Linked DNA regions of Oryzias latipes. The protein of the gene in region 1 interacts with the protein of each later gene in a biochemical or structural test. Links are inferred from orthologs where the notes say so. Each region holds a gene or a part of one and is shown in the gene's direction. Other genes may lie near its edges.

What was found. The genes of interacting proteins can lie anywhere in the genome.
Region 2: the proteins of uba6 (region 1) and ube2t form a complex in vitro, tested with the Homo sapiens proteins (2 studies listed by BioGRID, with this or other methods). The link is inferred for Oryzias latipes from reciprocal best matches to the Homo sapiens genes UBA6 and UBE2T.

The regions. Positions count from the first base shown.
Region 1 is NC_019859.2:12,642,270-12,647,294, forward strand, and holds the start of uba6 (ubiquitin-like modifier-activating enzyme 6), read left to right. Parts: upstream 1-1,559; 5' UTR 1,560-1,643; intron 1,644-2,126; 5' UTR 2,127-2,175; coding exon 2,176-2,216; intron 2,217-2,334; coding exon 2,335-2,429; intron 2,430-2,536; coding exon 2,537-2,565; intron 2,566-2,667; coding exon 2,668-2,762; intron 2,763-3,313; coding exon 3,314-3,425; intron 3,426-3,813; coding exon 3,814-3,894; intron 3,895-3,986; coding exon 3,987-4,109; intron 4,110-4,274; coding exon 4,275-4,398; intron 4,399-4,516; coding exon 4,517-4,620; intron 4,621-4,714; coding exon 4,715-4,777; intron 4,778-5,019; coding exon 5,020-5,025. Other genes in the region: glyoxylate reductase/hydroxypyruvate reductase, read right to left, coding at 1-79, 421-593. UniProt on the Homo sapiens protein: Activates ubiquitin by first adenylating its C-terminal glycine residue with ATP, and thereafter linking this residue to the side chain of a cysteine residue in E1, yielding a ubiquitin-E1 thioester and free AMP.
Region 2 is NC_019865.2:13,521,275-13,526,229, reverse strand, and holds the start of ube2t (ubiquitin-conjugating enzyme E2 T), read left to right. Parts: upstream 1-1,896; 5' UTR 1,897-2,356; intron 2,357-2,538; 5' UTR 2,539-2,539; coding exon 2,540-2,648; intron 2,649-2,979; coding exon 2,980-3,049; intron 3,050-3,123; coding exon 3,124-3,229; intron 3,230-3,386; coding exon 3,387-3,485; intron 3,486-3,752; coding exon 3,753-3,836; intron 3,837-4,955. UniProt on the Homo sapiens protein: Accepts ubiquitin from the E1 complex and catalyzes its covalent attachment to other proteins. Catalyzes monoubiquitination. Involved in mitomycin-C (MMC)-induced DNA repair.

The DNA.
Region 1 (5,025 bases):
ATCAACACCTTTGACCTTTTTCAGCAGCTCCGCCCTTGGTACAGGAACGTCGTCTGAGCCCCACAGCTCAAACTGCACCCTATAGGGCAAAACATGAAACCACAGATCTGAAGCAACCCCAATATGTCGTCATCAGCCGCAGAGGTCAGAAGTGCATAATGGGTTGAAATGAACAAACTCAAAAACACGGAGGCCTCATTGTTCTATGTACCATCAAAATTTCTATTTTAAATATTTGGAAATTTAAGATATAGATATATTAAAGAGGTTATGGAATTTGCAATCTTACAATTTCAAATGCAAACATTAAAAGTTTTCCTCTAAAAATGGGGATCTTTACAAAACAAATTTGTTGAAAGTGCTTCAATATCAGTGAGCAGCATGAAAGACATTTCAGAAAGACATATTTTTCTAACTTACTGTCCTGATTCTTTGAGGATCTTCAGTCCCTCAGGCGGGATCTGTCGGGTCACATACACCCGCTGGAGGGTGGACATTTCTCTCTGGACGTTACTTGGTACGCCTTCTTTGATGCTCAGGGGAGCAACAGCGATTTTCTGGAGCCGACGTAGTGCCATGCGACTGCCCCACATTGCCAAAGAAGAGCAAGCCTTTGGAAGATGAACGCAGTTCAGTCTGTTTCAGACTTAGTTTTGGCTGCAGCTCAGGGGGGTGGGGGGCTCCTGTGGGAGTTTGACCAATATGCTGAAAGGGAGGGTGCCTCTCAGACTAAGGTGCCCAGGGTTGAAAAATAGTTTTCTGACAAATGCAAGTCAGGGCTTTTTCTTGTTTAGGGTAAAATAGGAAAGAGGCCTTTTAGACTGAATTATATGCAAACAAGAATGCATTCAAAACTTGAAGTAACAGTTACTATTGTGTGTTCGTCATCGTTGTCTTGTAGAGCAACAGGAGTTGAACGGATGTAAATGTTTCACCAAACTGTTGACCTTTGCTTCTCTAAACAGTACAGCACCCAAACATGTTCTGTTCTATTTCTCCAGCTTCTCCAGTTCATCAAACCCTCATTCTTTACCCAAGTCAAATCAGGTCAAAGTGCAAATGATCATACAAAAAAGAAAGGGTTTTTGATAAAAATCAGTACATAAAAATTAAATAAAAAGGGACAAAATTGATATATCCTACAAAGCACATAAATACACAAATAAACAACACAAAAAAGATACAGTATACCATCAAAAAGATTGATAGACTGACTGAATAGAGCATGTGTGCATCAATATTGTCTTGGCAGCTCTGAATCTGAAAAAAGACAGGTTGTTTTTGCCTGTCATCCTCTATTTGACTGCAAAGATGAACAATCTCCTCCGGGTTGTTTAGATAATTTAGTACAGATGGTGGAAATAGCTGGAAAAACAATATGATCAAACACAATGTAATGGTACGTATTAATACCAATAGGGTTTTTTAAGATGATGCCGTTCTGCTAAAAAAAATATGCAGATTTAGTTTATTATTGTTATTATTAGTATTAGTTTATGTACTGTAATACTCATTTTAATCACCACGACATGATTGGATGACTGCTATCACGTGATTACTGTAACCCGGAACCACTTCAAATTTTCAACCACTCACAGCCATTCATTCGCCGAGGACCGTCGCGCATACTGTCAGCTATTAACGTAAGTCGTTTGGGTTTAGTTTTTAACTCTATAAATAATAAAACCTACATTGTCCTCGCTGAGTTGGAGATCTCTCTAAAAGATTGAACAACCCGGAAAGTTGCATATTATATTAACAAATGTGTGTCACCACTTTTTATGAGTTTACGGTGGCTGTCCTCGCTACCGGTAACTGGGCAGAAGTGAAATCCGTGGCTAGCTTGTGGCTAACGTTGCTTTTTCCTCTCGAGATTAGAAACGAGCATGCGCGATCATTATAAACAATTTGTAGTCGTTGTAACATTTGATCAGAACAAGTCCTATGTAACGAGTTCTAACCGTGAACTGTTACTGTTGACAACTTGCCTCCCATCAAATGTCAGCTAGCCGCCAAGCTATACTTTTAATAAATAGGGCGTTGGTCCACATTGCATCTATTTACACTAAAGTGTCTCACATCTTCGATATCAACTTTCTATTTGTTACGTGCACCTTCTTCTTAAGGTAGAGTCGCTATCTTTAAACCGGCTGAATCAGCCCTTTTCCTCCCAGCATGGCTGCAGACTTGATGGAGATTGACGACTCACTTTACAGGCAAGTGCAGTTTTTGGTGTTCTTTTTTTTCTTCTTCTGATGACCTGAAGCTCCACGTGCAGCTGTCTGTCTCCTTGGTGAGTGTAGCTAACATCTTTATTTATGTGCTTCCTAATAGCCGCCAGAGATATGTGCTTGGAGACGGTGCCATGCAGCAGATGGCCCAGTCCTCTGTCTTTCTTAGTGGAATGGGAGCACTGGGAGTGGAGATAGGTGAGCAAGAGAAGAGGACACACGTTTGCACCACAACTCTTTATCTTTGATAGATTCAAAAAAAAAAAAAAAAAAAAAAATCATACTCAATCATTTCCTTCTTACAGCCAAGAATATAACTCTGGCAGGTGTGAAGGTAAGAGGGCTTTTAAACTTTTCTTGTAATAAAATAGCAAACATGTCTTTTTTTTTTTAGTTAAGGGGTTTTATTATATATATATTTTTTATTTTTAAACAGACGGTTACTCTCCATGACACGAAACTGTGTGAGACTTGGGATCTGGGGTGTAACTTCTTCATCCGTAGAGATGACGTATTGAACCAGAGGAAGAGGTAATAATGCATTCTGCAAGTCCAAGCATTGGTTTCTAAAGATGATTAACTGCTATATGTGATTATGAATTGGTTTGTAAAGAACCACTTCAATTAAAAATCAGGTTTTTGGTGTTTTTAATTTGTTTTTGTGGCAATTTTTCTCATGATGGAGGGCATGTATAAAAAAATATTAGGCTTTATACTGCATTTCTGAATATTTTTGTTATTTATTAAAATGAACTACTACTGCCCTGTAGAAACTGTGTCCCAGAAAAAAAATAGCATGATCATAATTAAAAGACATCTGGGAACACGTTTTGAATAGATCAAAAGATGATCGGAGTAGGACTTTAGGTGCAGCAAAAACTCAGGTCTATGCATGGCTTTTGTCAACTCATTTGTTACTAAATAACATGCGTAGAAGCCTAGATGAGAGAACTTGAAAATTAGTTAATAGCCACTTGATCTTATCGTTACTTATGAAAAAGTTTTTTCTTTTTTTTTCTGTCCTTTTGTTGTGGATTTTGTCTTGTGTACCAATACTCAGCCTCTTGTTTTGCCTGTTACAGGGTGGAAGCAGTGTGCCCTCGTGTTGGGGAGTTGAACCCTTATGTTCATGTTGACATGTCCTCCTGTCCCCTGGATGACAACATTGACCTGAGTTTTCTCAAAAAGTATCAGGTAAGTCGACATATTTTATGTTATGTTATGTTCACACCGAGCGTGTGTGGCGCCTAAACCTGGGTTCTATAACACACATTTGGGTGTTCACACTGGACAAGCTGGCAGAGGCTTCTTCTGCTTTTTCTTTTGCTACTGTTTACTAGCACATGTCCACCACCTACATTTGGAAGACGTTATGCTGTTCTTGGACTAGTTTGTTGAATTTTTCCAGAAAAAACGTCAGATCAGCAAGAAATCTGCAAATGCTCTTGTGCTATTGGCAGCTTTATATTAAATTGTACTGTCAACTTTTATGAAAGAAAATTTTTGTCATAATTTAAGACAAGATTATTCCTGTATTCCTGAAGGTATTACTATATACTGACTGCTGTGCTTTCCCCTGCAGTGTGTGATTTTGACAGAGTCCAGCTTGAGCCTGCAGAAGAGAATAAATAAGTTCTGCCACTCCCAGCAGCCTCCCATAAGAGTGAGTTTACAGTCATTCCCCTGGTTTTACCAAGATCAATATTACTTATAACAAAAACGGTTTATTTAAAATAAAAAATATGTCTGTGTTAGTTTATCTCTAGTGACGCTTATGGAATCTGTGTCCGGGTCTTTTGTGATTTCGGAGAAGCGTTTGAGGTCTCGGATCCCACAGGGGAGGAGCTCAAGGAGATTTTCATCCAAAGTATCACTCAGGTAGTCATAATACTTTCACATTCTGTTCTTCAAATTAAGACTCCTCCCTGTTCCTCTGCTTATGCCTCTTGGAATTTACATAAAGTTATCTAATCAGTTATCCTGATATTTTTGTTTTGTTGCTGAACTTGTCCTTTTCTTCTTTTTTTTCCATATTTTTTTCAGGACAATTCTGGGGTGGTTACTTGCATAGACAACCAACCCCATGGTCTGCAGACGGGCCAGAGCGTTATCTTTAGAGAAATCAATGGCATGGTGGAGCTCAATGGCACCACACGGCAGGTTTCAGGTGGGTCTTTAATCCAGCACATCAATGCCACCACATGCAAATACAAAAGTAACCTAATCTAAGTAACATTTGTCCTGTTTCTGTTTCTCTGGGTGTGTGAATGTGTTTGCTGCATTAGTCATTTCCTCCCATAGCTTTGAAATAGGAGACACGTCGCACTTCCAGCCATATGAACACGGAGGCTTCTTTGTTATGGTTAAAACTCCTCAGATTTACAAATTTGTGAGTACAAAATAAATGTAAAAAATAATGCAGACATATTCAAATAACTACATTTGAGCACACGACTTTACATGTTTTACTTTTTTTTTTTTAGGAAACATTAGAACAGCAGCTGTGTGATCCTCAGGTCCTAATTCCAGATCTCAGTAAACCAGAGGTGAGTTTTTCAAAAACTCAGTTGTGGACAGGTTTGTTGTTTGGCCTTAATTCTGGTTTGCAGCCTTACGAGGTTGCCTCGCTACTCCACACAAATCACCATGGTAACACAAGCAGTGTACCAACTTTCACCTTGGAGTGGTTGGGTTTGATCAGGCCCCAAAATTCCTTGAGTTTGTCATGTGTGAGACATATTTTTGAGTTGTCTGGAAACCTCACTGTGGTTTGAAATCCTCCCATCAGGCTCCG
Region 2 (4,955 bases), on another chromosome or scaffold:
TATATTTTTGTTTTTTCTAGTGATGTGGGCTGAAAAATTGGGGAAACAGCTAGGCAACCCCACTCAGTCAATTGCAGGATGGCTGGTCAGCAAGTTGTTTAAGGTTCGCAATAAGGTCCTTGAGGCGAATGCTGTGCAGCTGTGTGGGATCCAGCCAGGGGGACACCGTGCTCGAGCTGGGTCATGGTCCAGGACTTGGTCTGGAATCGGCAGTTAAACTGCTCACCGGTCCTACGGGTCACCTTATCGGAGTGGATTACTCTGAGTACATGCATCAGGTAAAGAATGAATATTCACAAAGCAGAAATGATATTTGTTTCTAACTACGTTTCTTTAATATACCTTTTTTAAACATAAAGAATTAAATACATTGGGCTGGGTTCAAGTTTAAAGCTCACACTGTAGCTACTGTTTTAAACAAAATTTTATTTGGAATTTTTGTTTATTTTGTCACAGATGGCAAAGGAACGGATGAAGGATTTTCTCGCCACTGGGAAAGTTACCTTACACCTCTGTGATGTAGCTGCGATGCCTGTCGCAGTCAGCAGTGTGGATAAAGTTTTTCACTGTAACTGCTACTACTTTTGGCCAGACCAGAAAAAGGCAGCTCTAGAAATCCACCGCGTTATGAAGCCTGGTAATTTTACAGCCGACACTTTATTTTGTTTTTATTCCTGCATGCATCTGTCATCCAAAGTAAATTCAATACTTTTTGAGTAACTGAGTTTAAACCCACCTAGGAGGCCTGATGGTGAGCACACTGAGGCTAGCACATGTGGCTGTTTTGGGAGCCAAAGGTGTGATGCCAGGAGAGAATTGGCGCCCAGAGGGCTACATGACAGTTCTGAGAGACTGTGGCTTCACCGATGTCAGAATGGAAGACAAACAACACCATGATTTAACATTTCAAGCTATTTTTGCTATTGCGTCCAAATGATCATGTGTGTATTTGTCTCACACGTGCAACCAAAAGATTGCCAATGATGTGCCTGCAACTGAACATTAGCTTTACAGTAAACCATTTTGTGCTATTTGGTTGTTGCTCAGGCATTCCACAGCACAGTGTTAAGTAATTAATGCGTTAATTTAAAAATTGAAGCTTTGTTTTTTGCTGGTAGAGTTATGCCAGATATATAAAAATATGTATTTTAAAAGTATCATATTTTGATCTAAGCTCTTTTAGTGTAAATATAAATTGCTTCTTTGGGATTGATAATGATGTTGATTATGATATTGAAATGTCTTTTCTTGCTTAAATATGGCAAATTCAGTACTACTTTTTGAGTATTCATGACATACTACAGTATTAACCAGTTGCATTAAATATATGGTCAATAATAGAAAGAAACAGGAGACAGGGCTGGTTGTCACATTTCTTTCATGATGACCATTAAAATAAAAACAACACTAAAGATAAAATTAGTTGGATCTAAAAAATATACATGTTCAAAATATCTGCTCTAATCATTTGGTAAGAAATAATTTATGTTGCAAAAACGAGGAGGAAGTTTAATCAAATGGTAGACATCAATATCACAGCACCTGAGTGACAACTTGCTCCATTTTCTATGAATGAAGCAATTTGTTTAACTGAGAATGTTTGTTTGTATGTTTCATTCAAGAAATGGGATTATCAGAGTATTTTCTTTCATATTTTCAAACACTACAAAATACATAATGATGTGTGTAATTAAAAACATTCAAAAATAAACATGTTCTCACATTTCAAATCAGAGCGCATTTAGACAGGAAGACAGCTGCCTCTTTTCCTTTTTTCTCATCTTTAAAAAGTGACAAAACTGAAACAGAAGCTGATGTTTTTCATATGCTATATTCTACTTTTTGGGAGGAAGGGAGGGGGGGGGGTAAAGAAAAAAAAACTTTTTTTTATTCGTTTATTGATGTTTGTCAATTTTTTCTTGGTGTTTTTCTTGGTTTCGTATAGACTCGCTTTTTATTGTAAATAACCTTTGGAAATATTTTTACCACTAATATTGTGCTATGGTGTTGCAAATGTAATTGTTGAACCTTTTATCCTGACTTAGGACAACGGATGAAATTTAGCTTCTGTGCTAACTCTGGCATATTTATGTCAAAGCAGCTGCTGAAACATTGTGTAATATGCACCGTCCTAATTCAAACAAACAAATACATAAATAAATGTTGCGGGCTGAATTTATACCGGGAAAGAACTGTAGGTGGCGATCGTGTGCCCGTTGAAGTAGAGCAGGAGAAGAAGAAGAACAGAACGGCATTTGACGTTCGATTACAAAGCGAGGGAAATCCAAACCAAAAGCTGAGGCATCTCGCTTGCTGCAGGAAAATTCGACGTCTGAAAGGTGGTTCAAAGTGTCAAGTGAGTTCCGTTTGAAGTACAATAAACATGTTTCTCTTTCTGATTTCAAAGCGCGCGAATAAGTAGTATTTCATCTGCCAGTTTATAAGCACATATTTAATCTATAGAATAATTTGTTTTGTTTTGAAGAAACGTTATACAGTTAGCTGATTTTTTAAAACATCTTTTGAATCCCTGTCAAGAATGCAGAGAGCTTCTCGTTTAAAGCGCGAACTTCAGATGCTGAGCACCGAGCCTCCTCCTGGGATAACATGCTGGCAAAACGACGAGCAGATTGATGACCTCCGTGCACGTAAGTCTTATCGATTGATCGACAATTTATAATCTACTGGTGTGACTAAGTACTCCTTGTTATTTTAAGCATAAATGCACGTCTCTAATCTGAATGCTAAGGTCTCTCCTAGATGCAAACAAGGAGAATCATAGGAAAAGAGTGACAAAATCTTTGACAGTTTTATGTGTACTTAGTAGTTAGTAGGACCCATCATTTTAACTTCAACAATAATATTTTTGGTGATCACATGTATTTAGTACTGTTTAGATAAGAGTGATCGGCTCAGTGTGTCTGAAAATATTACCTGTGGATTTACAGCAGGCACTGCATTTTTCTTTTTCCACTGCAGAAATCGTGGGTGGATCAGGGACTCCATATGAAGGTGGACTCTTCTCTTTGGAGATCAAAGTTCCAGAAAGGTTTTGTCTTTTTTGTTTTGCAAAAACATCTGTAAGGTGTTGATCCTAACTTACCTGATGTTGACCTCCTACAGGTATCCATTTGAGCCTCCAAATATAAGATTCTTGACGCCAATTTACCACCCGAACATAGATAACTCGGGGCGCATCTGTCATGATGCTCTCAAACTTCCCCCAAAGGTTGGACTTTGCACCAAACAGGCTTCTTTTGTTTCCCTGAAATGTTTAAAACATTCACAGTAATCATTATTTGTGATTTGTTATGTCTTCAGTCTGTTTTTGGCAACTTTAAGATTTATTAAAATTAAAAATGTTTGTTTATTGGCCTTTTCTTTAGGGCGCCTGGAGACCTTCTTTGAACATTTCTACGGTTCTCACCTCCATTCAGCTGCTTATGGCTGAGCCCAATCCAGATGACCCATTAATGGCTGACATAGTGCGTAATATTAAAAAAAAGTTTTTGTCAAAATATGCTCTCTGCATTTACCAATTCAGTCATGAGTTTGATTACTCTGAAACATTTTCAAAACATGTTTAACTACTGAATATTTGAGGAACTTTTGCAATAAATAAGGATCTTTCTTTATGTTTTTAACACCTGATGAAACATGTGTGAGGCAAACCAGTGTGGAAGAAATGGTTATTTAAATGAATAAACTGCATGTAATGAAGTATATATTGTAACATACTTTTTTTTTTTTAGTCATCAGAGTTCAAATACAACAAACACATGTTTCTGGAGAAGGCCAGGAAGGTCACACAGGAACATGCTGTTCAGAAAACCTCTGTAAGTCAACAGATATGTGGACGATTCACTGTTATGATTATGTTTATTTTTTGAGATTTTGAATGTCATCTTTTATCTACTGCTTGTGGTAGATAAAATGCTGAATTCTGACAAAACCACTGGAATCTGACCATTTTAGGTTATAGAGAAATGCAGTCTAGTATCTAGTTCAGTCAAATACTGTAAAGTGTGGATCACTTTACCACACAGTTTACTCCCCTGGCAGTTGTGCTTTGATCTTTTGATATGTCACTTTTGTCATTGATTCCAGTCATAGTACTAGGTTTAGGGGCTGTCATCTGGACTTAGTTTTTTAAAGTTGGAAGACGTTTCACCTCTTATTCAAGAGGCTTTGTCAATTCTGAATTAGCTGGCAAAAGAGCTGGTATATACGCGCTCATGGAGGAGGAGTCAGACCTGAAACTGGATGGTATTGTCAACTTAGCCTGCGTGTTTTCGGGTCGTTAAGAGTCCTTTGTCCTCAGCTGGGGTTGGGGAGCCAGGGACTCCCACCCCAAATCGGTCATCTTTTTCAGCTGTTAACGACCCAGTTGGAACTGGTTCGGTTTGTTTGGGTTTCAGAACACTGCTGAGAATGGATGGAAGAATAAACCTGAGACCACCATTCTTATTAAGAGAAGGTTTATCCTTCTTGACAAAGATGGCTTCTTTCACTCCTCGCTCAAATGATCCTTTCTTTCTGGTTAGAATTTGGACTTCACTGTCCTCGAACGAGTGGTTTATGGCCTTCAGGTGGAGGTGCACTGCAGACTCGGGTCCACTTGGGTTGGCTCTGCGATGTTGGTAAAGCTGCTTGTGTAGAGGTTGTTTGGTCTCTCCTATATCCTATTCATTGAAGTTCTCTTTGTAGTGGATAGAGTACACAACATTACTCTGTTTGTTTGGATGAACCAGTTTTTGTCTGAGAGTATTAATTGGTTTGAGATGAACTGTGATCTGGTGAATGCCAAGTTGGGATATCCACAGGTTTGAAGGGCTTGATGGATATGTTGCTCATCTTTCTTCTTTCCGTCAGAGCTTGTGGGCACCTCCTGGGCTCTGTGTTGTAAAGTCCTGATAACACCTAGTTTGTGTGCTGTAAAGGGTGGTTTGAATCAC